2 linked regions of the Stegostoma tigrinum genome follow. The protein of the gene in region 2 interacts with the protein of the main gene of each other region in a pairwise test. Links are inferred from orthologs where the notes say so. Each region holds a gene or a part of one and is shown on either strand. Other genes may lie near its edges. The genes, in order: ubiquitin-conjugating enzyme E2 E2 and znrf1.

Region 1 (15,336 bases), on a different chromosome or scaffold from region 2:
TAGAAATTACATGCAAAAGTAAACCAACCCACGCATTTGTCCTTGAAAGGTTCTATTATGCTAGAAACATCTCTGTCTAGAAGGGCAACATGGTGATAGGAAATGTCTAAAAATCCACTTGTGCAAAACATGAGAAGGGATGCAATATTACTTTTCTAAAAAAGAATCAAATACCATAAAATGTTATTTTGTGTTATAAACTTCTGAAAACATCCAGTTGTCTTACAAAATTGTTTGCAAGTATTCACTTCATGAATTCAGATAATTCCTTTTAAATATTTGGCCAAGTGTGTCAACATAACGTGATTACTACTATGAAATCTGTTCCATTGCACTTCCAAGGTACAGCCTTAGGTGTAATAAGAGTAAATAAAGTAACAACAATTTTAAATGCTTGCTAATTATTTGTTCATGCATTCTGCTACTACATATTGAAATATCAATTAAAATATACAAAAGCATAGGCTTCATGTTAGAAAATCAAAAGTTTTAAAAATTTAATTGGAATATTGGAGAACCACCTAAAAATCCAAGCAAATAGCAGGACAGATACTGATATTAGCAAATAGTTTAAACATATTCTGATCCAAAATTAGGGTAAGATACAAGTACTGTGCATGAATGTTCAGAATTAATTAGAATTTTTTCTTGTAACAAGTGCAAATCATTGCTTTTTGCAATTTCAACAACAAATGAAAGTCTTATTCTGAGCAAACACCCTATGTACCAATGAACAAAATGTTTGCTTCATATTCATAAAAGCTGATTTCATCAGCATTTTTACTAAAACACATTAAATTACTAAATTCTATGCAGTAATCATACAAAAATTTCAGTTTTCCTTATTTTTAGCAGTCATCCAATAACTTATAATTTTGCTTGTTGAGAGCAAAAAAGGAAATGTCCTAATGGAAGCAATCCAAAAAATGCATGTTTTCTCTAATAACCTGACCAACATTTTCATACCACAAGAAATGTATTCAACTGTCCTTACCTGCAGTTTGGAGGAGGATCCAATGTAATCTCTGCAAGTTCTTTCTGAATCCTACAGAGAGGCACATAAGAAAATCTGTTTAATAGGAACACAGGTTGGACTGCTAAGGTAAAATTGGATCAAGTAAACAAAATAAAACTACTTGAAAATTTATCGTGTTTTTGTAGAAGACAAATAATGTTTATTCTAATCAAAGGAATCTAAAGGACACATTATATGCTAGCAGTTCTGCAAGAATAAAACAACTATATACATTAACTCCCTTGATATTTGCTGCAAGTAGTAGGGTTATATCAAGTTCCACTGAGCTCAAAAATAGATCTGAGAAGTACAGACTAACCCAATCTTGTATACTGTAAAATTGGACAGTTGCAGACTGTTTATGCAAACTTTAACTGAAATTAAATTTAAACTAAAGAGTTCCATGTTATATCACCTGATTTGTTAATCTACTGAGTTATTGTGACGATACTACTTAATTTATTACACATAACATCAGGACTGATGAGAGCTGTTCAGAAAGCAAATTACAGGGATATAGCGTAAATTCTGATTGAAAACATTTAGTAACATTTGGCAATAATATTGTGTTACTGTGTTCCAAAGTTGGTAACTGTGGTATATGCAAGGGTGAATTTTCAAAAACATACAATATAATTGTCTTCACTGTGTTATACTCCATGATATTTATATCTCGATAACATGGCGAGTGCAATGGCAAATATGTCACTATTCAAGTTATTAAGCAAGATCAAACTAAAACATTTGCATTTTTTTCAAAAAACTCATTTTTTAAAATCATACTGTAGACTCTCCACTTCCCAATCTCTTGTATCTCGGAGGGAGAGAGGCTGGGGGAGACAAGAAACAAAGAACGAAGAAAATTACAGCACAGGAACAGGCCCTTCGACTTTCTAAGCCAGCACCGATCCAGATCCTCTATCTAAACCTGTCACCTATTTTCCAAGGATCTGCATCCTTCTGCTCCCTGCCCATTCATGTATCTGTCAAGATACATCTTAAATGATGCTATCGTGCCCAACTCTACCATCTCCGCTAGCAATGCATTCCAGGCACCCATTACCCTCTGCATAAAGAACTTTCCATGCATATCTCCCTTAACCTTTTCCCCTCTCACCTTGAAATCGCGACCCCTAGTAATTGAGTCCCCCAATCTGGGAAAAAGCTTCTTGTTATCCACCCTGTCTATACCTCTCATGATTTTGGAGACCTCAATCAGCTCCCCTCTCAACCTCCGTCTTTCTACTATAAATAACCCTAATCTACTCAACCTCCATTCACAGCTAGTGCCCTCCATACCAGGCCACATCCTGGTGAACCTCCTCTGCACCCTCTCCAAAGCATCCACATCCTTTTGGTAATGTGGCGCCCAGAACTGTACGCAGTATTCCAAATGTGGTTGTACCAAAGTCCTATACAACTACAATATTACCTGCCAACTCTTGTACTCAATACCCCGTCCGATGAATGAAAGCATGCCGTATGCCTTCTTGACCACTCTACTGACCTGCGTTGCCACCTTCAGGGTACAATGGACCTGAATACCCAGATCTCTCTGCGCATCAATTTTTCCCAGGGCTTTTCCATTTGCCGTATAGTTCGCTCGAGTTGGATCTTCCAAAATGCATCACCTCGCATTTGCCTGGATTAAACTTCTTATGCCATTTCTCCGCCCAACTCTCCAATCTATCTATATTCTGCTGCATTCTCTGACAGTCCCCTTCACTATCTGCTACTCTACCAATCTTAGTGTTATCTGCAAACTTGCTAATCAGACCATCTATACTTTCCTCCAGATCATTTATGTATATCACAAACAACAATGGTCCCAACATGGATCCCTGTGGAAAACTAATGGTCACAGTTCTCCATTTTGAGAAAGTCCCTTTCACTACAACTCTGTCTCCTGTTACCCAGCCAGTTCTCTATCCATCTAGCTAGTACCCCCGGACCCCACACGACTTCACTTTCTCCATCCGCCTACCGTGGGAACCTTATCAAACGCCTTACTGAAATCCATGTAAATAACATCCACAGCTCTTCCCTCATCTATCAACTTTGTCACTTTCTCAAAAGGATTCTATCAAGTTGGTAAACATGACCTTCCCTGCACAAAACAATGTTGCCTTTCACTAATAAGCCCATTTTCTTCCAAATGTAAATAGATCCTATCCCTCAGTATCTTCTCCAGCAGCTTCCCCACCACTGATGTCAGGCTCACTGGTCTATAATTATCTTGATTATCCTTGCTACCCTTCTTAAGCAAGGGGACAGCATTAGCAATTCTCTAGTCCTCCGGGACCGGACTCGTGCTCAAAGATGCTGCAAAAATATCTGTTAAGGCCCCAGCTGCTTCCTCTCTCACTTCCCTCATTAACCTGGGAGAGATCCCATCCGGACCTGGGGACTTGTCCACCTAATGCCTTTTAGAACACCCAACACTTCCCTCCTCCTTATGCTAACTTGACCTAGAGTAATCAAACATCTATCCCTCACCTCAACATCCATTCTGTTTCTCTCCTCAGTGAATACCGACGCAAAATACTCATTAAGAATCTCACTCATTTTCTCTGATTCCTCGCATAACTATCCTCCTTTGTCCTTGAGTGGGCCAACCCTTTCTAGTTACCCTCTTGCTCCTTATGTATGATACCAGCACTCATCTAATCCTGGCCACAACCATCCTTGATTTTAAATAGTCTGCTCTCATCAGTCCTGATGTATTGTATAATAAATTCAGCAGTATTGTCTCAATAATTCAATAGGTTGATAAGGTGATATAATATGGAGCTCTTTAACTGAAATTACATTTAAACAATAGTTTGCATTAGTAACTGCAATCGTGATATGATAAACAATAAGTGATTCAGGTCTGGAATGCACTGCCTGGAAATGTGTTGGAGGTAGATTCAATTGAGGCATTTAAGAAGTCATTAGATGATCATTTAAGTGGAAACAATGTGCAAGGGTATGGAAAAAGAGGACAATAGCAGGGCAATAACATTAAGCCAATATTACTCCATGAGACAGTTGGTACAGAAACAATGGGCCAAACAGTAAAAAACATAGTAAAACCTCTTTGATTCAGTGCTTCATCTGCCTAAGATCATAGCTTTAGAATTCCCTTTCAAACATCTCTGCTACCCACCTGTCTTTCTTCCTCTGAGAAAGCTGCGGGGTGGGGGGGGGGGGGGGTAACATATTAGCATGAACAGAAGATTGGCTGACTGGCACAAAACAGAGAGTATGTATTAACGGATTTTTATTTGATTGGCAAGAAGTGATGAATGGAGTCCTGCAGGTGCCTATGCTGGGACTCAACTTTCCACAATATACGTCAATGTCTTAGAAGAGCAGAGTGAAGGCATTGTAGCTAAATTCACTGATGCCACCAAGATTCATAGGAAAGTATGTTGTGAAGAAAACATGAGGAAAATGCAGATAGATATTAATACATTGAAGGAGTGGGCAGAAATCTGGCAGGTGGAGTATGATGTGGGAAAATGTGAAATTGCTCATTTTATTCACAGCAAGAATAAAAAAGCAGTGTATTATTTAAATGCAGAACTCGGGGGTGCAAAGGATTTAGGCGTTCTAGGGCATTGTGTCATAAAAAAGTTTACAGGCACAGTACATAATCAAGGCAGCTAATGGATGCTATATTTTACGACGAGGAATTAGAACATAAAAGTAAAGAAGTCATCCTTGGTGAGACCACAACTCGAATAATTGAATAGTTTTAGTCTTCCTATTTAAGTAAGGATGTAAATACACAGCAGGAAGTTCAGAGGATAGTTGGAATAAGTAGGTTATCATATGATGATAGAATGAACAAGCTGTGCTTGTTAGCATTGGGGTTCAGAAGAGATGACTTGATTGAAATGGAGAAGATCCTGACACGGTGAATGTTGAAAGGGTGTTTCCTCCTACAGGTGCATTTAGAACTGGGAGACTGTTTTAAAATTAGGGGTTGGCCTTTTATGAGAGATATAGGGAAAAAACAACATTCTCTCAGAGTTGTGCAACTTTGGAATTCTGTGGACGCAGGAAACAGTGGAGCTCATGTTATTAAATATTTAAGGCCAAGTTACATAGTTTCTTGTTAGGCAAGCCAATAAATGTTTATTGAGAATAGATTAAGTATGGAATTTTAAACAAAGAGATCTCGTTCAATGGTGGAGCAGGTATGAGGGAGCAAATGGTCTACTTATGTTTCAATTTTGAATGTTTGTATGTTTGTAAAGAGAATTTTTTAATCAAACAAAAAAGTTGGAAAATATACAGCACCATTTCACTTTGACAAGGTAAAGTTTAATATGCTGCCAAGCTTTTCTCTTAGTCTTGGTTATGTGGTTGGGCATGGACTTTCGTTGGATTGGTTCAAATTTATGAGCAACGTATTGCAGCAATTGCTATTGCTCCCATCAAGATGGCTAATCAGGCAACTCTCCCACTTAGTTTGTCATCACACTTACAGCTAGTTCTCCTGTAACACGATAGTTGCATTTTTGTGCGGCCTCTTACTATAGAAAAATCAGCTTATAAGGAAATTGCGATACTGTACATTAGAAACCTCACATTATCCAAACAGTGTCCACTATTCCTCAATTGTGCTACACACTTTATAACAGAAATATCTGTATTGGAAGGATTTACAGAAAGACAATCAAGCAGATTGGCAAAGTTAGAAATGCACTTTCCATAGCCAGCAAATCCTGGTATGACTTAAAAGAGGAATATCTGGCCCAGAGGTAGAGACACAAGCCATTCCTAATGATGCCACACAACAAGTTGCTTTGAACTAAGAAAGCATGGCAACCATTTTGCACCTAGCCATGTTCAACAAGTAGTAATGAGATGGGTAACTAAGTAAGCAAATAACACATTACTTTTTTTGAAGCCATTTGTTGAGTAGATACTGCTGGTCAAAATATTTTCAGAACTCTGGGGCTTTCCTCAAATCTTTAATCTTAATCTTAGCCACTGAAATAGGCAGATAAAATCTTGAGTTTTACATGTCATTTGAAGACTGGGACCTTTAATAGTGTTGCGGTCTTGTAGTTTCATACAGACCAGAGGGTGTGTTTGGTGGATGAGGAAATATAGCCTGAGCACACAATCTTCAAGCAACATGAGGGTGCAACTGAACTAGGTCAGCAAGGTGAAATGTGCTCACTGTGAATCAATGGCCCATTTAAAACTACCTTCAAATTTAAACCCTTACAGAATCCAATAATTGTTTAGCTGCAGGAGTTTGGTACCAGTACAGGCACTGGTGCATGGTTAAGAGAGACTTGTGTTGGCAAAGTTTAACAGCAGAACCAAAAAAACACTAATTGTCAACCTGTAGGTCCATACTTCTATGGGGTAGCATTTGAACATGTGTTTACATTCCCATCACTAAATGTACCAAGCTGAGATAAAACTTTCACTGAAAACATTTGCCTTGCAGAGGAAATTCGATTCAAGAGAGATAAATGTCCACGCTTGCATCAGTCAAAAGAATAGAACAATAGCTCACTGGCTTCAGATCAGAAGAAAGCTATATTGTCTTGGTTCATTCTTCATCTAATTTTGCTAATAAAACATAATGGGATTCCTCCTAGGACAAACAACATGATCAGTTTCGAGTAAGTTGGTACCTTTTAGCACTAGTTGAAAGTTTAGCAGCAGTTTTACTGGAAATCTTGGCATCTTTTTTCTTGGGCTGTGGCTGTTCCCTCTCTTGTTCTTGAGGAGTACTTTCTCGCTGATCCCCATCTGAGCTGCCACTACTGGTACTGGGGCTGTCATCAGCCGTCTGCGGCTCACTGGACATCTTACTCGTTCTGGAATTTATAGCAAATATATTAATTGAGCAATACTTGAAGTTCAAGACAATCTTGTTTCAAATCATTAAAAGACACAATCCACTATCCCAACTTTTTAACCCATTTCACAAACGCTGAAACAGCTTCAAAAAACAAACGTAATTTCCAATACAGATTTGAAATCGACCGCAAGGTGTATCTAAGTTGTATCTAAAACATTCGCCGAATGTAAACATTGTTAGGTCAACATCATGTCTCTTCGTGTTTCAATTTCGACAACAGCATTGTTTTGTAACATTTATATTTTTTCCGACCAAGTATAAATCCCAACAGTTACACAAACAATACCAGCGAAGTATAAGTCGAACATTTCACAGCCACGTCAAATTGCGCTTGATGTGGTTAAATAGCAGACGGAAGGAGGTTTTAAACACCGACTGTATGTCATTTGGGGCGAAAGTGGGGGGGGGGGTCAGTTTGTCATTTGCAGAAAGTCGGATATGAGAAACTGCAAACCAGTGTGCAGTGACTGATGCTTTAAAGGCCTTGCTCGTTTCCAATATCTCCCTCACACACACAGAGAGGAATATCACACAAAAACAGCTAAACACCATCCACTCTCGACTCTAACTTTCAGGCCGGATTTGGAAACTGTCCAGTCGTTTAGAGGGGCCACTAAGTTCTATGGGGTAACGGGGAAAGAAGGAGGTGATTCTCATTTTTCTTCTTCTTCTTCCTAAAAATCTTATTACCTGAGCAGTGACTGGGGTGGGGGGGAATCGCTGTCTATGTCTTCGGGTTACGCTGAAAAATAAACAAGGAAGTAAGAAAGGAGTTGAAACAGACGGAAACCAAACGGGTTTGACTGGTGATGTTGGTGAGAAAGTGGAGGAGACACCAATCCCAAACACATGAGCAGAAGCCCCCTCTCCCCTATCTAGCTATCCGCTGCCGACGCCGCTTCTATCCTCGCTGGCGCGCGCGCACGGACTCGCTCGGTCTCCACGGAACCACATGCTCGCGCGCCCCAAAACTGAATCAGCGCTTTCGCCACCGCGCGCGCACACGCGCCTCACGAGTGCGCACACTCTCCCAGCCAGGAGCATCGCCGGGAAGGGGACACGCGGGGCGCGGCTGTGCGCGTGCTCCATTCAACCGTCGCATTCTGTCTTTGAGTGACGGCGCGAGGGCGGGCGGTTACACCTCGACTCCGCGCTGCTGATTCAGTGAGTGGGCAAGAGCCGTCTCCCTATTGATCCGTTAACAACTTCTTGATTCAGAATTCCCGCTGTCTTCCCTTTGGAGGTTCTCGGATCTTTCAGGATTAGTCCGGTGACCACCGCCCGCCAGCTGCCCTCCTGTTAGGGATCCTATTCCCAACCAAAAGGTGCAGATTTTGCATGTGACTCCCAGAGAAACAGCAGTTCGGTCCCTGTTCTAAAGTAGTTTGTTCTTCTGACTTTTTAAAAAAAAAATAGCAAAACGATTAATTAATTCTATGGTGCCAGGCTAACTGCTTATTTTCGACATGGGGTGTGAGAGTGAAGGGAAATGACTGGAATGGCTACATCCAGTAAACACGCTGAGTCCTTGCGTCAAATTTCTCAGACTACCGCGATCATCATCTCAATCCAACACTTACTCCAGAAACAGTCAGTGGGAGACTTGGCGCATCGCAGTCAATGATATACATGCTGCACTGAGCATCGTCAGATTTGATTCATTCTGGTGATGTTTAGGAGCTGTCAATTCAGGTTGCTAGCCTGATCTAAATGCAGGGACAATAATTACATAAATTGAACAAATTCTGAAACAAACATAAATGCTGAAATCTGTTTGGTGCGGTGGTTTCTGACATTGTCTGAAATTCAATCTGAGACAACAGTTGGAATTGTTCGAATAGGATGACAACGAACCAACCTATACCTAAGGGAATGTTAAATTTATTACGATCTTGTGATGGAATGTTAAAACTCTTTGTGAAAGGTCTTTTTAAAATGTAACTTTCCTTCATGTGTGTTAGAAATAAATACAACTTGTTTTGTTTAAGTATATTTATAGCCTCTCTTGTGAAAAAAGTCTTAAATTTATGAGAGTACCTATCTCATTTTTCAGAAATATCTCAGAGCACTTTACAGAGAATTAAATACTTTGGAGAGGAGCTATGTATAGCTAATTGACAGAACCATAAAATTATTTCTATGCAAAAGGAGCCCATTTGGCCAATTGTGCCTGCACAGGCTCTTCAATTGAGTACTACAAGAGATGAGGACTGTCTTTCTGTCTCAGATGGTTGTATGTCTTTGAAATTCTTCCTCAAAAAGCAGTGAAAGACTTTTAAAGAAAATGCCAGATAGATCCTTGGCAAGCAATGGAGTTTAAGGTTATTGGGAGTAGTTGGAAATGTGGATTTGAGGTTTCAATCAGAATAGCCACAACCTTATTAAATGCCTGTGCAGACTTTAGGGGACATGTGGCCCATTCCTGCTCTGAACCCATATGTTCTTATGTACTGATCTATTGAACTCTGAACTGAGCTCAATCCAATGTCTTCTGCCTCACCAAGATCACCTCCTCCTTCCATTTCTGTAAATTGTTCACTTTTATCCCTGTCTCAGCTCACCAGCTACTGCAACACTAATTTGTGCTTTTGTTACCTCCATGCTTGACTATTCCAATGCTATCTTGGATAGCCCACCATCTCCCATTTTCCACCATTATAAACTTCAACAGGAGTCTAAGTGGCTATTTCTTATAGAATAATAGACCTGAAAGTGCCAATACGTGTACAGCACAGATATTCAATTTCTAAACATCTCTTTCCTGCACTTTTACCTCTCTTCCGTCAAGTATCTATTTTTGGTTGCTTTCTGTTTCTTATACACACGCTGCCACTTAGAAAGAACATCTGAAAATGCAGTTTCAGTTTTCACATGTATACCCATGACACCCAGCTTACCACACCACTGCTCACCCAACTCCTCCACTGTCTCTAAATTATCAGTCCTCTTGTTTTCTGGATACAGTACTAGATGAACAGAAATTTCACCAATTAAATATTGGGCAGACTGAAGTATTCAATCCCTGCCCCAAATTTAATTCCATAACCACTGAATTTGTTTCTCTCACTGACAGTTACCTGAGACTGAAATAGACTGTTTGCAATCTTAGTGTCAAATTTCATTTTGAGATGAATCCTTGATGGCATAGCCATACTATCACTGAAACCACTTATTTCCATAACATTGTCCACCTCTGCCCCTAACTCATCTCATCTGTTGAGGATGCCCTCATTTAAAACTTTGTTACCTCTAGACTTGGCTATCCCAGATACACTTGACTGGCGTTGCCCATTCTATGTTCTTTAAACTTGAGGTCATTGTAAACTCTGTTGCTCAAATTCTAACTCACACCAAGTCCAGTTTAATCATCATTGCTGTACTAGCTGACCTGCATTGGCTACAGGTCTAGCAAGCCCTTATTTTTGAAATTCTCATTCTTGTTCTCAAATATACCTCCATGGCCTTGCTCATCCAAATCCCAATAATTTGCTCCAACCCTTCAATACTCTGCACTTCTCTAATTCAGCATCTTGAGCATTCCTAAGGTAATGGCTCCAGTATCGATGGTCTTAAGCTCTGAAATTTCTTTCCTCAACCTCACTTCTTTTATTAAAGATACGTCTTAAATCCTACCTTTTGATCTGGCTTTAGGGAATGGTGCCTAAAATTTCTTTATATGGCCGGTTCTCAAATTTTACCTTATAATGCTTCCGAGAAATGGCTTATACATTTTGTAATGTTAAAAGTGCTAGATTAAATCAGTATGTTGCTGTAGCTGTCTCCAACAAAGCTGCACTACAGATGTGAAGACAATTTGATGTTCAAAGGTGACTAAAAAGACAATCTGCTTTATTCAATACAGGGAACAATTTTTACCATTGACTAATTGGAGAAAAATATCTGGTCAATACAATTGTGTAAGATGGCTGGACTATCCCAGAGTTCAAAGTATCAGCAATCCGTTCATATAACCAGTTCAACTTCAGGCGCATAACATTGCTTCCTGTATCAATCAAATAAGATTTTGTTTTGGCAATACTTGGTTTTTATAAGGTCACCAGAGCAAACATGCATGGAATCATGTCCACTTTATCAAAACTCTCACAAGACCTTTATTTTAAGACACCCATCCATTAATTTACGAAAAAAGACAGAAAAATCCTTACAGGGTGTTTTGTCCATTAAGTCTCCCTTGTACATCACTGAACTCATATCTGCCCAACCTACCCAATGTTGAATAGGTATCAAATCTGGGAAAATTAAACAAAGTAGTTTTCAGATGTTGTATGTGACTCTGAACAAGTAAAAGGCTCTGAGTAATATTCATTCGGACGGTCAGTTGAGCTTCAGGAAATCACGGTGACCTTGACAATTGGCAAACCTTGAACATAGCACCAAACCTGTGCCGTACTTATTTAAAGAGAAAGAATGAAAGCTTGACTCTGAGAAAACATCTACAACCATGGCTTTTGACATCTTTTACCAAACAATAAGTACCATTCAGGTACAATGAAGTTTATCATTCAATTGTGTCAGCAATTGGTGACGTGGTTACCTCTGAATCAAAAGTTGGGTTCAAGATAAAATGAATACAAGTTGAATACAAAATGAAACAGCCCTCCAGTTCGGTACTGAGAGTATACTACATTATTGGAGATGTTGTACATCAGATCAGAATTTAAAATGATGCCCCATCTGTGCTGTCAGATCCTATGGCATATTTGAAGAAGAGCAGCGGATTTACCTCTGTTGTCCCAGCTAATATTTAGCCTTAAATCAATATTGGGAAAGCATATATTTCTACTTACTTGAACAATCAGTATCGGCAAACAAAGGAACATAAGCACAAAATGTTAGAAATCACATGTTCCCTTCAGGACAGGAATGCTGAGATAACAAGATGTAGAGCTGGATGAACACAGCAGGCCAAGCAGCATCAGAGGAGCAGGAAAGCTGACGTTTCGGGCCTGGACCGAAAGGTCTGAAGAAGGTTCCAGGCCTGAAACGTCAGCCATTCTGTTCCTCAGATGCTGCTTGGCCTGCTGTGTTCATCCAGCTCTACACCTTGTTATTTCAGATTCTCCAGCATCTGCAGTTCCTACTATCTCAGGAAAGGAATGCTCCTCAGCTACAGTTGGCTCCTTGCTCTGGGTATTCACATATGTTGGAGCAAATTCATTTGATCTGAAATCTAGCAGGCATCAGGTTCTCTTGTATCTTTCTGCTCTGTCTCGTGACTATCCTAGCTAATTAAAGAGCAGCAGCATCAGCTTCACCTGCCACAGCATCTCTGCTGATTCCCTTTCTTAGACTCCTATCTAGCGAGATGTGTGGCAGCAGACTCGGGTCAATGTGTGGAGTTATTAAGCCATAACTTCTGAGGTTAGCCCTTGTCATTTATGAGCCAACCCTGGAGACAGGATGTAGGGGGAAGTGAATATTAATGGCACTGTGGATTGTGTAGAATGTAAGCAGCATGACAGCTCCCTGGATAACAAGTACAAGCCTGCAGAATTGCCTGTGATCACAAATGAGCTGGACAATGAGGAAGTGAAATCATGACCTGGAAAGGATTCTGGCTGGATGATGCCAGGAAACTCTGAGCCTGCAGTCAATTGCATCTTGGACCTAAGGGCACCCAGAAATGAATGCAAATCTGACAGCTCAGGGAGTGTGGCACTCTTGTTCCATGGTGAACTTCGTAAACAAAGGTGTTTTTCTCAGAAGGGTATTCATGTATTTAGAAGTGCACATGCTCATGGCTGATTGATATAGGCTACACAAATCCCCAATTGAGGTTTGAAAGGCCCTGGTAAAGTAGAGCTTCAATCCTGCTGTGATCTTCAGTGTCATAGGTACAATGATCCCAACCAAGCTGTGTGTCTGCAAATCTTTCTGCTGAATGTGGCAGACGTAGGTAATGTCATCTGTAGTCACGCAGATCTAATGTAGCATTGGCATTCACTCAGTTGCAGGTGGCTGTAATGTTTTCAGTACATCCTGTCACTGTACAGTACTTGACAATACTCAAGGCCCTAGTTCCACTTTTCACCTACTGCTTGATGCTGTACAGGCAGAGTCCCCTGACTCTTGGGTCCACAATGCGGTTGCTGTTGAGCATACTTTCACCTTCTCTTCTTCCTCCATACTCACAGCAAAGCCAGTATAGTTGCAGGGTTTAACTAGCCAAACATTTTGCATTGAAGTAAGGATCTATGAACAAGTAGCAGGAAAGAGATATTTGATTTCTTTTTGAGAACTTGCCCTCGTCAACCTAGCCTGTGTGACATTATTTTTCAGTAAGAGCTTACTGAATGTTGCATAAAGACAATGGGAACTACAGATGCTGGAGAATCTGAGTTAACAAAGTGTGGGGCTGCCTGAACACAGCAGGCCAAGCAGCATCTTAGGAGCACAAAAGCTGACATTTCAGGCTTAGACCCTTCATCAGAAAAGGGGGATGGGGAGAGGGTTCTGAAATAAATAGGGAGAGAGAGGGAGGCAGATTGAAGGTGGATAGAGGAGAAGATAGGTGGAGAGGAGACAGACAAGTTAAAGGGGCGGGGATGGAGCCTGTGGAGGTGAGTATAGGTGGGGAGGTAGGGAGGGGATAGGTCAGTCCGGGGAGGACGGACAGGTCAAAGGGGCGGGATGAGGTTAAGAGGTAGGGAATGGAGGTGCAGCATGAGGTGGGAGGAGGGGATAGGGGAGAGGAAGAACAGGTTAGGGAGGCAGGGACGAGCTGGGCTGGTTTTGGGATGCAGTGGGGGCAGGGAAGATTTTGAAGCTTGTGAAATCCACATTGATACCATTGGGCTGCAGGGTTCCCAAGTGGAATATGAGTTGCTGTTCCTGCAACCTTCGGGTGGCATCATTGTGACACTGCAGGAGGCCCAGGATGGACATGTCATCTAAGGAATGGGAGGGGGAGTTAAAATGGTTCACGATTGGGAGGTGCAGTTGTTTGTTGCGAACCGAGCGTAGGTGTTCTGCAGAGCGGTCCCCATGCCTCCGCTGGGTTTCCCCAATGTAGAGGAAGCCGCAATGGGTACAGTGGATGCAATATACCACATTGGCAGATGTGCAGGTGAAGCTTCAAAATCTCTGAAATTTATTTTAGAACCCTGTCCCCATCCCCCTTTTCTGATGAAGGGTCTAAGCTGAATGTTGCATGCTGGCTTTATTGTGTCCTTTTTTGTTGTTTTCAACATTTTTTTTTGTAAATATGTTCATTAATTGAATGTGACATTTCTGGTAAGGCCATTAGCAGCTGCCATTCCATTCTACCATTGTGCAAGCCCTCCAAGGAAATGAGAAAAGAGCATATTCATCCTATACATCCTCGAAGAGAACAGAGAATGTTGTCGGAGGTTAGGCCCTCAAGCAAATGAGATTTATGGATGGAGAGGGGTGTGGATAAGTGAAGTTAAAGAGTTCAATGATCATGGTTAAATGTTGTCGCAAAAAGAGGTGCCATTAAAAATTTAGTTTGACAGATTGATTATACTTTTATCTGTATATACCTACTGACCATGTGTGAAAGGATCAAATGGAACTGGAACCTAGATTTGTAGGACTTCAAATAAGAGTCGTTAGAAACTGCACATCACTCGAAATAGTTATGAATAAAGCTTATTGCTGTTTAATCACAATAATGCAGTTCTCGCATGACTACAATGGCACCAATATAATTATCAATCAATAGGAATAACAATTGAGGGAGGGGGTTCATATGGGTACCTTCTATTTGGAGAATGTTAAAGGAATCAAGGGACAAATTGTTCAATGAGTGAATAAGTTCAGCCAAGTGGAGGACAGTGATGGTTGATGGAAACTGGTTGGGCCTCCATTGAAGACAGAAACAAAGTGAGCATCATTGCTTAACCATTGACCACAAAATCTGTGCTACAGGCTAACAACATCAAACAAGCAATAGAATAACAAATCCTCTGCCTTTTGTTAATTTCTAGAGCTGTTTAATCAATGTTTTTTGGACTCTTGTGTGATATTCTACCAGAAACTCATGTAAACCAAGATGATAACATTAGTTGACCACCAAACCTATATGGCCAGAACGTCAGGAGATCCAGCCTGAGAGCTGAGTGTGATGAAGCATTTGTTTGTTGAATGTTCTGCTGTAAAGCTTATTCTGTCACATGCCCTTTCCAAATCAGTTGTGTGAACTGCACAAATAATTCAGGTGACTGCATATGCAAGACAGACATACTTAATAAACATTCACCACATGCAAACTTCTAAACTGAATTCTGCCATGACAAATATTTAAGCACTAATTTCAAACACCTGACATAAGTATTTATATTTTTGATAAACTTAATTTATTTAATCCTTAGCAATGTGTTTTATGAAAATGCTTATTCCGTGGTCAGGGACTCTTTCCCTGCCACCTTTCTTGGCTGTGATTGTCAGGATATCCATTTAAATTGCA
Region 2 (15,331 bases):
AGTACAATGGAAGGTAGCAGGTGCACTCTAGAAGCAGAAAGGCACTTGGGGAAGTAATGCAGGATAACAAACAGTAAAATATTAAATCTAACCTCTTGACTTTAATGCTCCCTTACTGATATTCGCATCTAATCACCAATTCTAGTCGTAACAGTTTATGTGGTATGCATATTGTGCAGATATTAAACCAGCAAGCTCAGTAGACAAATGGATTTAAAGCCTTCAGGTTCACTGCAAAGATCTGAAGATTAATTATTCAGCAGTTTCTATTTTGCAGCTTATTCGGGTAAGTGGATTTTAGATTCATTTCCTAAACTTCAGTCACAGCCCAGGAGGACTTCCATCGATGCCCTAGAAACAATACACTTTGATAACTCATTTCAGTGCTAGTGGAGACTTCTCTTTGCCTGATCCAGTACTGCCAATATATGGGCTTATTTTTTAAAAATTCAGGTCGAGAAGCAACTAACATTGGGAATCGGTGAATTACCCACAAAGCTTGATGCTAACAATGATAAAAAAAAACTTACATTTCTACCAACTTCAGGAAATAAGAAAAAAACAACTGAACTGAAAGTTGAAAACTGAGTGACATAAACTATTGAAACGCAGCTGTTATTGCGACTTTACCAAGCTCATTTATCATTGATTCACATTAAAGACAATTTTAACATGGAAAGTAATGTTCTTTTACATAAGGACACAGAGGTAAAACATTAAGAGTACAACCTTTTTTTAAGGTTGGCTGTAACTAAAAGTTAACTCTTAGAAACACTCCTTTTACAAACAAAACTAAATTCTTTATTGTAAATTAATATTAACTTGTGGTCAGGAATGACAAATATCACCAAATTAACAAGTGCCAGAGTTTTTAAACTATCTAAAACAGTCAGTATGAAGGGAAATAATAAATGTTGTGTTATGAAATAGTAAGTTCAGTGTTAATCTCAGTTTTTAAAAAATTGTAACAGTAACAAAAGAAATGCAAATCTCGGACGGTGCTGAGAGTCACAAAATAAAAGAATCCAATTCTAAAATTAAAACTAGCAACAACAAACCTACTGTTCCACAAAAATCCAGATGGAAGGACTGAGTGTGCAAAGATTTAAAAGAAGCAGTTGTCAGACCCAAAGTAGTTCAGGTTCTGCCATCTGTTGTTCAGCACTGTTCCACAAAAGTCAGCACTATTCCTCAAGGATTGTTCAATATTTCAAATGTTTTAGGCTATTAAAAATTATGAAAGTTTCTTCTGTACTCCTTTAAATTGAACTTCATGCTCAAGATTGTAACTTCCATCATTTTTAAGTCATGTAAAGGCCATGTGTAATCACTATTGTTCTAACCACAATGCAATGATGGTGGCTTCCTTTTACAGTCAGCTGCTCATTTTCCATGACAAAATATTGACTTCCATTGCATCAAGCACGAATATTTATAATTTCCTACAACAAATAAAGTATCAAAAGTCATCTAGGTTGAATAAAGTTTATTTCACCTGATATTGCTGTAATCTCAAGCTAATTCAGACAGAGTTAAAACATACTTCAGCTCACAGATCAAACCTTTTTCATAAATTATAGTTGTGGACAACCAACAAAATGTTTGCTTCAAAACAAAAAACAATTCTAATCTTTAGACTCACCATTTCCTGTAACCAAATGGTATATCTAATAAGTTTGTAAACAAAGAAGTAAAACCAAGGCCCACAAAGGTTGAAGAGAGTATCAGAGAGGACTAAGTAAATTGAGGGTTGGTAATTAAGAACTCATATTTACTTTGAATTTGAAAATTATAAAAAGCACCGCAGATTGGTTTACGGAGGCATACTGGGCAATTTTACTAAATTTAACTTTGACAAATCACAATAAAAGACACAGCAAGGGAAATAACAAATCCTATAGTTTAGAGGTACTACAAAATAATTTGTTAAAGTTGAAAATGGTAGATGGGGGAGCAGGCAAGATAATGTGTACAGGAGAATAGTTTACACCAGAAAAAAATCAGAGAGAAACGTTACAGTTGATCAGACAATAAGAACATGCAAAAAGAGGGAACATGCACAGATAAGAGCAGAAAGATAGTTCTTGAAAGGGAAAAGAAAAATTCTATAGTTGAGAGGGGAAATGTCTATCACTTGTCAAGTTTTTTCCTGTCCAAGCTTAAAAGTTATTGGAGTAACCTATCCAGCTAATGTCTTTGCTCAAATTTTCCACCGTTTCTAGGTTTTATTTTGAGGGGGAAAACAATGGGATAGTATGAAAAATGAAACAGAGTTTTGTGAACATAGCTTTGGGAAAGGAGGTTTGCAAGTTCCCTTTGGAATCACAATAAGGCCGGGGATAAGCGTGTAAACAGTGTCAAAGCCATAAAATGTTGTTGGTTCAACTTACAAAAGTTGAAAGCCTTTGTTTTCAATGAAAAAAAATCAGTCTGCAGAATGTCACATGTCTTTCAACCTCTATTTAGTCTTGGATATATTGTCCACTATTCCCTCCAATCCCAAACAATTCATTTATACATTGTTCAGACCACCTTATATCAGCTGGTGACAACTTAATTTTTCAAATTATGTTAATTAATTTGGCAAGTCAATTAGAACAGTTTTTTTTCCCCCATTAAGATGGAGACCCATTGTAGGCAACCCCAACTTTACAACCTAAGTCACATCTGTAATTATTATCGTTAGGAATTTCCACCCTAGCTTTGTTCTTTTCTGGGGTTTTTTTTAAATTGTCCTGTTAGCATTCTAATAAGTTACAGCTCCAAAATCCTCCAAACAAATTCAAAGCAGGATTTTATAGTGGTGTAAAAAAGAGGGCACATTCACTATTACATTACGACTGGAGGAATGTTCTTGCACTATTAAAGCACATTATTTGCCATATTTCTCCCACCTATTCTGGTGTCTTCCCAAACACTAAAAAAACCCTGGCTCGCAAGGCTTGAGAGCCAAAGCACAAACATACCCCAGCAACCCCTAACAAAGTTGAAATTTGCCTTCAAATTTAATTTCACACTCCCTCTACAAGTAGCAGCCACTTTGAGCAAACCATCATATTTGACACCGAACCTCATGTAGCTGATAGCTGGATTCTAACTATACTCCTATATTACAGTTTCCTTGTGCATGAATCACGAAAAAAAAGTATGTAAGTGCAGCAGGTAACGAAGAAGGCAAATGAAATATTGTCCTTCATTGCTAGAGGAATAGAATTCAAAAATAGCGAGGTTATGCCGCAGCTGTAGAGGGTGCTGGTGAATCCATATCGGGAGTACCGTGTACAGTTTTGGTCTCCTTAGTTAAGAAAGGATGTACTGGCAGTACTTACATGAGAAAGGGTGTGCAGAGGAAATTCACTAGGTTAATTCCAGAGTTCAGAGTTCAGAGGATTGGTTTAAGGAGAGTTTGTGTAGACTGGGCCCAGACTCATTGGACTTCAGAGGAATGAGGGGGGAATCTTATAGAAAGATATAAAATTATTAAGGGAATAGGTAAGACAGAAGCAGGGAGGCTTTTTACACTTGTTAGTGAAACTTGAACTAGGGGGCATCACCTCAAAATAAGGAGGAACAGATTCAGGGCTGAGTTGAGGATGAACTTCTTCATCCAAAGGGTTATAACTTTGTGGAATTCCCTGCCCAGTGAAGCAGTTGAGGTCACCTCATTGAATGCTTTCAAAGACAATGTTGGATTTTTAAACAATAGAGGAATTAAGAGTGAGTGTAGGGGTAAGTGTAAGTGAGCCCACAAAAAGATCAGCCATGATTTTTTTGAATGGTAGAGCAGGCTCAATAGGTCAGATGGCCTACTTCTGCTCCTCTGTTCGTATGTACAGCTGTGACTACATTTCAGAAGTATTTTGTTGGCTGTAAACTGCTTTGAGTGGTCATGAAAAGCACTATATAATACAATGCATTATTTCTTTGTAATTCACAAAGCTGCAGAAGCAAATCAATAGCATTCTAGCCTTTACAACTTAGCATTAATGCTATTTTCCGCTGCCTTAATTGTGTTAGTATGTTTTTCAGCATCCCAAAATACACAATATTCTTTGATTCAAGTTAGCGCATCTCACTTAGTCTGCTCTGCATCACATCACTGGAAATGGTCAAAAGAAACTCATTAGTAACTTGCTGACTTTAAGTTTCACTTTAGCCTTTCTTGGAATGAAGAGACAATTCATGCCCCCTTCCCCTTGTGGCTCCGTAGAAGTACAGCTGATCCAATGGCAACATACTGGTATAATCCATTGCCTGATTTGTCACAACATGCAGATCTCAACGCCAATGGTTAAACTTCAATTTAGTCTGCTTGGCAGTAGAAGACCAAACTTTCCAGGGTTAAGTTACGGCTTAGTATTTTTCTCTACATTAAAAAGGCATATAAAAACTAAAGCAGTAGAGCTGGATGAACACGCAGGCCAAGCAGCACAGGAGCAGGAAGGTCTAGGTCCAAAGCGTCAGCCTTCCTGCTCCTCTGAAGGCTGCTTGGCCCGCTGTGTTGTCATGTATAGTGCTTTTCATGACCACGCAAAGAAGTTTACGGTCAACAAAATACATCTGAAATGTAGTCACAGTTGTACATAAGAACATAGGAGCTGAAGTAGGCTATCTGGCCCATTGAGCCTGCTCTGCCATTCAGAAAGATCATGGCTGATCTTTTAAACGGCTCACTTCCACTTACCCCTCCACTCACCATAACTCTTAATTACTCTATTGTTTGAAAATCTTTGTCTTTAAAAGCATTCAATGAGGTAACCTCAACTATTTCACTGGGCAGGGAATTCCACAAAGTCATAACCCTTTGGATGAAGAAGTTCCGAAGAGGAGTCTAGGCCCGAAACGTCAGCCTACCTGCTTCTCTGATGCTGTTTGGCCTGCTGGGTTCATCCAGCTTTACACCTTGTTATCTCAGATTCTCCAGCATCTGCAGTTCCTACTATCTCAATAAAAGCAAAATACTATCCTCACTTTTTCAAGATTACTTCCTGATCAACATCAGCAACACTGCCAAATAAAACAAAGTACTGTCTAGCAATTACTCCCAAAAGACAGATCATTTTCTCCATTTCCTACTCAGAGCGCAAAACTATGAAATAGGTCTCTAATTTGAAGATCTGCAAAACACTGTATAAATCACTTTTCCCACAAAGCCAACATTTCATCTGCCTTACTGCTGGAATAAATAAAGCCATTCTTTTTGTTTGCCTTTGGCACCTTCATACGTTTGGTCTCAACCCAGCTGGTTTTTTTACAATCCATCTCAATCTAACAAGGTGTTGCACGATGGCATATTGCTGATTCAAACTGTATCTTTCCCAATGCACACTATCCCAAGGCCACTTTTTTCCTTTTTTTTTAAAAAGCATACCCAGTACCTTCCATAATTTTGCTCTACTACCACTAAAACCCTGTTCCATCACCTCATAGTAAAGTTGAGGAATTGCTCACCAAGCTGGCATGAACAAGAACAAGCCAGCTTAACGAGCAAGTCAACAACCTCAACGACAATCTGAGCAACAAGTCTTTGCTAAAACCTTAAACCTCACAATGAAATTTAACTAACATCTTTCAGACCAGTACTCCCCTCTCAACCTTCTACAACTTGGTACTCATTCAATACTCAGCACCCATTCTCATCATCACCAAGTCATACAGTAACATTACATAATGCTCTCAAAAGTTTCAGTGATATTATGTCCTCCAAGAAATTATCATTTCTCATCCTCACTTTCAAATCTCTAACTGACTTCCGTCACCTTCTCATAGTGACCTCATCCATGTATTTGTAACTCCACCAAAACAAAGGTTTGGTCCAGCCTTTTCTCCCCCATTGTCTCCAATTCATTTGGTCAACCTGAATGTCTGTGACGTCTGTCTACTTCCAAAACCCAAGTGGTTCTGACCACTCTTCTACTCATTCATGCTAACCATCTGGTATACTTTTATCTTCCACATCTAAAGTATCAACTCCTCTCCAACCCATCGACACTGCGCTCAAATACACTGCTGCTCCCAATAACGCTGAGTAATTGAAGTCAATCTGCCTTCAATGACATACTCGTCAAAGTATGGTTCCAATTAAGCAAGACATCATACTGTAGCATCACGTGATATACAAGCAATGTTTACATAACACAATATTTTGTCCCCAACTGTAAACAGAATTATCATTTTACTGATAAAAATATTTATTCTAAAGCCTACTTTTTGGGAACATGACAAAGGGCCATTGGACCTGAAACAGAGAAAATGTTTTCCCTTCTGTACAGATGGGAGAAATTTCTGTGTTAATCCAATCTGTTTTTGGATTATTTGCAACTTTGAATATTTAATCCATCATAATTCTTGCCTGTTGGCCTCAAGATACTAACTATGCTGTTTATTCATTCAGGATTGTGAACATTAATAGGTCCTGGCTTTCTGAATGGCCAGAACGTTACATCAGAAAGGATAGCAGTGCTAACATCTTACTCCTATAGCTCCATCTAAAACAAAGTGGATTTCTATTGTTACAACCAAAACCTGTGTGTAAACAATAATTCTGATTTAATTATAAATTTGGTATTATTGAACTCATTAAAGGCTTTGCTTAGTAAGAGGGAATGTAAAAAGGCAGAGGAAATCAAAAATCTTATAAGAGTCAAAGTTTAAGAGAATTAACTATTTTAAACTGAATGAGCTTATTTTTAAGTACTGGCAATAACGAGTGTCAATAGTGTTAGCATTAACAGTAATCAAGGGTAGCTTTGATAACCCCATCCTGGTGAAATCAGAACACTAGTTACTAATGATACACTGTGTATTACCCAATAAGGAGGGAGCACTGGGACAGCCATGTTAGCTTTCTTCCATCCTGAAATATACCATTTATAGTGTCAACAAATATATGTATGATGCAGTTGAGGAATGTTATTATTATGCATTAATATTGTAACTAATATGACTATAAAACAGAAGAGAATGATTATTACAAACACTGATAGCACTAAGTACTGCAATATTTACTAAATTTGTAACAAATGATAATAAGCCATCATAATAAGTATTGATAATATATTAACTGTTGTTAGCACCAATTACTGATGAATTAACCAGCAAATAAAGATCAGAAACGGTGATACTAATGGACGACTATGACTTCTGATAATCAGCTGGTACCAGCAATTACGACAGCTTTATCTTCCCCGCATTGAATAAAATGACAACCAAAGGAAATTTCACATGCTATTAATCGACGGGGGCAACAGGCATGAATGACCAGATATCAGCCAGCGTCGGGGGTGCCTCAGGGTGGTTAATTGGGGCAGGTTACGAATTGGACTGGTGGCTGATTGCTCATTAATGGAAGGATACCGGGTGGTGACAGAGTAGGGTTAGTGGTTGAGTTGGTTGCTGGTTAGGGGTGCACTCACCGCTGTGTGTGTTGAACCAGCGTGGCGCCGCCAGGTGAAGCGGCAGCGAGTCGGACAGCGAGGCCGCTCTCGAGCCCAGGTAGAGCTGCAGTTCCCGGGCGGCCGGGCCTCCTCCTGTCTCCCGGTAACCGTTACCGGCCGAGTCGGGACCTCCTCCGTTACTGTGCTCCACACCATCGGTCACCCTGCCGCCTCCTCCTCCAGCCCGGCTCCCTCCACCTCCACCACTGTACAGCCCGAAAGGATGAGCCGGTTCCATAGCGGCCACGCTGCTAACCGAGCGAGTCCTGAGCCCCATGGCGGGGCCTCCTCCTCCTCCTCCACCACTACTACCTCCACCTCCAGCGGCGGTGCCGGCGGCGGACGCCCGGTAATGGCCGTAGTGAGCGGTGTGGACGGCGCTGTCGTCGCTCGAGACGCCGGGGAAAGCGGTCCGGGAGCGGGCCGCCGTGCTCTGCTTCCCTCCCATGGGCGGCGGGCGGTATAAACAACCCTCCCCTGGAGGCTGTGTGTGGGAAAGGGGGGGGGGGTGGTAGTTAATCTACCGTCGACCCCCCAAGCCTGAGGGGGGGGGGGGTTTAACCGCCGCCCGGTCTCACACGAGGGCTTCGGCCGCGGCCATTCGCCCTCCCTCACTCACTGACTGACTGGACTGATGGCGGGGCGGGGGGGGGGGGGAGTGATTGATTTTTTTTGTGTGGGGGGGGGGGTGAAGGGAAGCTGCTGTCTAACCCTGGCGTTCTCCAACTTCTGCCTTATCGGCCATCTTCTTCTTCTGTTCTAAAACCCCCGCCCGCCCGCCCGAACAAACTCCCCGGGAGAGCCCCCACCTCCACCCCCCCCCCCCCCCCCCGCCCTCCCTCCCTCACCCCTCGACCCCGCTCCCTGTCCCTCCCGCACCAGCCCAGCTCCTGTTAGCCCAGGTGAGAGCAAGGCGCATGAGCAGTTCGCGCTGCCAGCAAAGCCCCCTCCAGTCAGTCAGTCAGTCAGTCACTTCACTCACTGCCTTGTCTGGCTGTCAGTGTTCTCTACACTTTGATACAAGCAGGATGTGGCATAAAGGAAGCAACAGTTTCTCTCTTCTTTTTTCCCCCCCTTATCTTTTTTTTTGCATTTGACCAACTTCTCCTCTTCCTCCCCCAACAAGTCTGCATCTCATTGGCAGGTATTTCCCAACACTCGTTTTGCACCAGGATAGCTTGTTTCTTTCTCTCCCTCTCGATGTTGTTTGGGTGTCTTATCTGTCAACTCGCTCGTGATGACATTTCTCACCCCAGCCGAAATGTCAAGGCATGAGATCCGATCCCTATCACATTTCCCGCAGTCTTCGTATTGGTTATTTCTTACACCCCCCCCCCCCCCCAAACACACGCACACAAAAAAAAGTCCAAATCTTGTCTGCCCAGGGTTCTGAAAAGCAAGGAAATGAGGTTTATTTCAAGAAAAGGCGTTTGTTTTTAAAACTTTTCCGCGACACTCCATTAAACAAAGCAGTTTGTCTTGTTCGGATACAGCGAGCCCACCAGGATGCCCGGAGCTGTCTTGGATATATGCTTGACAGATGGTTTATTTCGTCAGTGCTCCGGGCAATCCAATATAGGAAGAGGCAGTATCCGGACAGCTTTCTCACTGGGTGCGAATGAGCGGAGCTCGCCGCATTACGCTTATGTGTTAACTGGCGTTACTAACTCCGGCCGTACTCCTAGGAGAGTGGTCAGCCGAGACCGGCTCAGTGGGGAAAGTGAATTCACCTTTAGAAAGATTGGTACTAGCGCCAGTCACAAGCGATGTCCCGCGAGGCTGGAGATGGAGTAAAACCGCTCTAAACAGTGACCACTGTACTTTCCAACCACGTTGTTCACAGGATGCTCATCGTCTTATTTCAAAGAAAGCAGTAAAACAATCGGCCAGTAGCAGCCCGAAGTGAGGGTGAGGTGCCCCATGCGCAACCCAGGAATTTTTAAACAAAAACAGAAATTTCTGGAAAAACAGCAGAGTTAACGTTTCGAGCCCAGTGACCCTTCTGAACAAAACTGCTTAATCTGATTCATGCTCGCAGAGAATTGCTGGCCATTCCACTCCGCAGCACGTCCCTGGCTTCATACATCAGTAAAACAAAACATTCTCCAGAACCTCGGAAAGTAAGAATTGCCAAATAAGACACTGGTACCTCAGCCTCACTAATCCCATCTGGGGTGAATTGGAGCCAGTGTGTAGTTAACTGTTCTATGTAAACGCACGGTATTACAATGATGTACGCCCCACAGAGGGACGAGAAGGAATAGTATTTCTTCTCCTCCCGAGACAATTAAATCCCAGGCAGCATCCTGGCCAACAGATTATGGATTAATTGATATTGTACTAGATTGCACGAATCTAGATGCTTATTCTCAAAATGCAAAATGTACGCATTAAAAAAACCTTTAACTTTTTACAGCAAACAAAAATTGCTGGAGACCACACCGAGATAAGGCAGCATCTCTGGAGAAAGCAAGCTTAACGTTTCAAGCGGCATTTATTTTCTTAGTTTTCAGAGCACTTTCCAGCATCTGCAGTAGTTTGCTCCTGCACTTTTTTTTTTCTGTCTGGTTGACTGCAATATTTGCGATGACATTTACAACATGCTCTTGGAGGGAGGAGGCCATTCGCAATAGGAAAGTCCTCCGTCATGAACCTTTTCAACTTTTCATGGCACCAAATGGAGAAATCCATACGTATTTATTGTGACGCTACTTTTTTTAAAAAAAGAGCTGATTGGAAACTCATTTCATCTAGTGCAATGCCAACCATTTCTGTTTTCACATTTTTTTAGAAAGGGAACAAGAGGAAGTATATATTTCTGGCCACCTGAAATGAGACCCAAACTGTACAGCAGGTCAGTAGGTATCTGTGGAGAGATGGGCCAGCTTAGAATTATAGTCATACAGCCCGAAAACAGACCCTTCAACCCAACTCATTCATGCCGACCTGGTTGTTGATTCAGCCCCCCCTACCCAGGCCGCGCTGGACTGAGGAGATCGCCTTACGGCTGTGTACAGAAGCTGTCTAGCACGTTCCAGCCCGGCCCCATTTTTACTGCGCTTGGTCCAGGAAGTTAGTGTGATTTCGACTGCAGGAAATCTAACTTTTGTCGAGATAAATAATTATAACGGGTTCCAAAATTGACATTCAAGCCGGCGGTGGTTTGGGAATGGATGGGTGGAGATTTCAACCCAATCTTTCCAGTCCATAGGCGAGATCAGGGTTCGGGTTTGGTAGGAGTTTTACGCTTCAGCCTGCTGCGTCCTCCATTTCATCCCATCATAGGTAACAATCACAGAGCTGATCGTTTGGCATGGTCAGCCCCTGGCACACTAAAACATTGTTGTGACAGATATGCATGTGACTTGACAGTGTATGCAAATATTATCCAGGGTTCAGTCCATGATCTGGGTTTACACTACAGAGCAGCACAAGTAACTAGGAATAGCTAAAACCGAAGGATAGAATGTCACAGAAATGTACAATCATCAGCTTTAACTGCAGAAGGGTCACTGGACTCCAAATTTTAATTCTGTTTCTTTCTCCACAGATGCTTCCAGACCTGATGGGTTTCTCCTGCAATTTCTGTTTTTTGTTATCTTTAACTGGAGGGTCTCAGACGTGCAGAAACTTTTGGGAACTCTGTAATAAGCAAGATGGGCTGGAGAAAATGGGAGGGTTAAAAGGAACGTTTCTGGTGTGGAAGAAAGTGGCATCGCAGTCAGTGTGGGCAGAGTCTGGATACAGGAAACTGAGATCAGATCACAAAACAAGTCTTGCCACAGGCTAGAAGAATTATTGTGACGCTTCCCGTCCTTCTTTTCAATATGCTCACCAATGCTTCCGTTACCTCAGCCGGCCCCAACCTGAACCTGAGATGTGAGGCTGGATGAACACAGCAGGCCCAGCAGCATCTCAGGAGCACAAAAGCTGACATTTCGGGCCTAGACCCTTCATCAGAGAGGGGGATGGGGTGGGGGTTCTGGAATAAATAGGGAGAGAGGGGGAGGCAGACCGAAGATGGAGAAAAGAAGATAGGTGGAGAGGAGAGTGTAGGTGGGGAGGTAGGGAGGGGATAGGTCAGTCCAGGGAAGACGGACAGGTCAAGGAGGTGGGATGAGGTTGGTAGGTAGGAGATGGAGGTGCGGCTTGGGGTGGGAGGAAGGGATGGGTGAGAGGAAGAACAGGTTAGGGAGGCAGAGACAGGTTGGACTGGTTTTGGGATGCATTGGGTGGAGGGGAAGACTGGGCTGGTTGTGTGGTGCAGTGGGGGGAGGGGATGAACTGGGCTGGTTTTGGGATGCGGTGGGGGAAGGGGAGATTTTGAAGCTGGTGAAGTCCACATTGATACCATTGGGCTGCAGGGTTCCCAGGCGGAATATGAGTTGCTGTTCCTGCAACCTTCGGGTGGTATCATTGTGGCACCGCAGGAGGCCCATGATGGACATGTCATCTAAAGAATGGGAGGGGGAATGGAAATGGTTTGCGACTGGGAGGTGTAGCTGTTCCTGTATTTCCACACAATTTCAAGGTGTGTCCAACCCTTAAAACATCACCTGTCCCACATATCGCAGAATCTGCAGATCACGCAACGGATATATAAACCATCGCAGAATCCACTGTAACTAGAAGCAAGCCATCCTCAATCCTAAGGGACAACCTTCAAAGTTGATAAGTTGTTAAACAATATAAATGTAAACACTGTGCGGTTCAGTATTAGTTCACATTTTTACTTCATTGTTTCCATATCATTAGCAATGAAAGACTCGCTGACATCAACAAGTAAAAGCAAACATTCCAGACTACCATCTGTTTGCTCCTGAATCGTCCAGAAATGAAAAAAAAATGCCAAAGTTTCTCAACTCCAGAACCAAATGAAAACAGGGCAAAGAGGGAGGGTTATATAGATTTCGACACAACCGTTCAATTATGGTGAAGTTTGGAAACACCTAGAAATTGCCAGCCCACCTGCAAGCACAAGAGCACCATAAATGCTGGTAGCCAGCTACAAATCTCACACAGGATTAGTGGCGTCGGCAGCATTGCGCTGTTACTGGAGCTAACTGTGAAGCTGTAATCATGTATAATAGTCTGGTTGAGGGTGGAGGGCAGGGCGTACCACTGACTCACCTACTGCATCAAATCACACAGGATTAACCAATAACAAAAAAAAGTATTAATTCATTTTTTTTCTTTTATAGTAGACTGAAATGGCAGGGTGGGGTGGGTGAAAGCTGTTTTAAAACAAAGGATTGTGGAAGGAATTGCTACACTTTTAAAAAAGCAAGAGACTGGAAGCCCTTGCGTTATATAACTGCTTTGTTCAAGGAGTACGGAAGGCTGTTCGTAGATGGAGGGGTGTACGCAAAGTGAGGTTTGGCCAACAGCATGTAGCGGATAGAATTTGTGCAATTGCGACTAGTCATGGACGCTCCAGGTCATCAGCCTGACGACTTTCTGATTGGATCCTGAGTGGTTGAACAGGTTGTGGGTGTGAACAATGTAAAGAAACTCCTTCAGACTTGTGGAAGAGCGGATGGATGTCTCCCTCCTGACAGTAAAAATACCTGAAGCTTGAAGAAAACCAATGATTTTCCCGCTATAAGCTGTCGCCAATAACTTTGCAGTCATTTTAGCAATCACCATGTGTTGCTGGGGTTGATTAAATGGCGTGGGGAAGTGGGATGTTTCTTCTGCTTGGTGAATGAAATGACTCCCAAAACCCCAGTCTTTAAAATCAGGGAAGGTTATTCTTCAAAGGTTGAGAGCAAATCAATTATTCTTTATAATGTGTTGACTGGTTTTCTGTGATGCTGCATTTTGAAGATGACAAGTTTGATGACAGCAGGGGCACTGTCCAACAGCAGTACCTCTTCTCAGCACTGGGGACAGTCTAGGGTCTAATAGGAATAAGGCGGAAAATTCTGAGAGCGCTGGGAAAAGGGTGAATTCAGAAAAAACTGGTAAATCAGTTTCGGGTGCAGTGGGATTAAGATCTAGAGTCTGTAATTACCTGGGGACGGGAGCCAGTTGGCATGGAGCTTCTTCTTTTCATTTAAAAAAATAAGAAATAGAGAAAAGTTAACACCAGATATGACAAAAGAAATAAGATTTAGTAGGCAGAAACCGGGCAGTCATGAAATCTTCAATTGCAATAGATTAGTGAATTTTCTTTGATTTGCTTACACTAAATTGCACTGTTTTATAAGGGCAGGGAAACTGTATCATGGAAAACATTTGAAATTTAATTATTCTGTATGCTTTGTATGAATGGTAAACCCACACGGAGATCAGCTTGCAGCTAAAAATGCTGGCTTTGTTTGATTGCAGATCAGTTAATATGATGCAGATACTGTGTATAAGCTAGTTCTCAGAAAGGAAACTGGTTTGTAGAATTTTTTTACCGCCTGTAGGGAAGAAAGTAGATTTATATGAGGTGAAGTTCAAATCCTAATTGTTAAGGATTATTGCTCAAAAATGTTTTCTACATTTGTAACTAGGAGTTGTTCAGGTGGTTGGTTAGCTAGATGGCTAGGATGTGGTTCAGAATAACACCAACAGTGTTAAATCAAACAACAAGTTTGATCCCTGTTTCAGTAAAGATAGACATCAGGGCCTGTTTCCTCACCCTTCCTCTAGTACAAATCATAGTTTGGTGACTCTCAAAGTCAAGAATGGCACCTGGAAAATAAAGAGTTCTGTCTAAGTTTGTTTTGAACAATATTTAAACTTGGCTGATGTGTAAAATTAAGGCAGCTATTTCACTTGCCAGTGAATGGCAGGAGTTATACTGACAATTATATTTTTCTTTGGTCATTATATACTTCAGTGATTACCACAACAATATGACCTTGAGGTGAATATATATGATTTACTGATATTGGAGAGACCGAACCTGAAACACTTCTCTTCACAGGTTCTGCCAGACATGCTGAGCTTTCCTGGTAACTTCTGCTTTTGTATAGGAGAAAATATGTTCCATGGAAAACTGTTGAACTTTCAACAAATACTACAATAGGTCTGGCACCTGATACTTCTTAAAACTATAAAATAAGAATGAACAGTAATCCAAATATCCCATGTGTCTACCATATTTCCATATTCCTTTAATCCATCTTCCCTTAAGCCGCAAACTCAATTATCCTTGAAGTTGACTTGTTTGAATTGTTCAATCTGGTATTACAATCTACATTTATACTATGCTTAACAAACACCTGCCTGAATATGTGATAACAAGTCACTCATTATCTGTTCAAGAGTACAGCCATTCAAAGACAATAGGTGATACTATTGGAGAAAAAAGTACATTTGTAATTAAACTATGTCTTTCACAACCTCAAGACATTGCAAACACCCTGCTACTTATGAGGTTCTTTTCATATGCAATAACTGTTGTAATTGAGGGAATTCAGGAAGTTGATTTGTGCACAGCAAGCTCAAAACAGCAATGGATTAATTTGGTGGCAATGAAGGTTGAGGAAATAATGTTGGCCAGTGCAATTACCCTTCTATTCTTTCCATGGTAGCAAGTACTATTTAACATTGACAGCACCTTTTATTTAGGATCTCCAATTGGTACAGTACTGAGGGTATGCTGGGCAAAGCGTTAGTCATGATCGTGTGCCAAGAGTAAGGTTTGAGACAAGACATCTGATTGAAGTCAACAGCTAACATTTTTGGATACCATTGCCACTTCATTTCTCTTGCGTTGGGATAAGCAAGAACATTAAAGACAATTTTACAATAAAGGAATTCTATTATTGACAGGGGCATTCCAATTGAAGGGTCTGGAAACCCAACAATATCAGAGGTCAATGGTTTTCATGGCCTCTACAAACTACTGTTAGATGCCTACTGTCTGGATGCCTTTTTATAGCAATTGTTTTGAAGAGTGC

The links.
Region 1: the proteins of znrf1 (region 2) and ubiquitin-conjugating enzyme E2 E2 interact in a two-hybrid assay, tested with the Homo sapiens proteins (2 studies listed by BioGRID and IntAct). The link is inferred for Stegostoma tigrinum from reciprocal best matches to the Homo sapiens genes ZNRF1 and UBE2E2.

The regions. Positions count from the first base shown.
Region 1 is NC_081355.1:65,287,557-65,302,892, forward strand, and holds the start of ubiquitin-conjugating enzyme E2 E2, read right to left. Parts: upstream 8,115-15,336; 5' UTR 8,029-8,114; intron 7,834-8,028; exon of another isoform or gene 7,630-7,833; 5' UTR 7,578-7,629; intron 6,844-7,577; 5' UTR 6,834-6,843; coding exon 6,658-6,833; intron 1,046-6,657; coding exon 995-1,045; intron 1-994.
Region 2 is NC_081369.1:14,287,992-14,303,322, reverse strand, and holds the start of znrf1 (E3 ubiquitin-protein ligase znrf1), read right to left. Parts: upstream 7,920-15,331; 5' UTR 7,885-7,919; coding exon 7,416-7,884; intron 1-7,415. UniProt on the Homo sapiens protein: E3 ubiquitin-protein ligase that plays a role in different processes including cell differentiation, receptor recycling or regulation of inflammation. Mediates the ubiquitination of AKT1 and GLUL, thereby playing a role in neuron cells differentiation.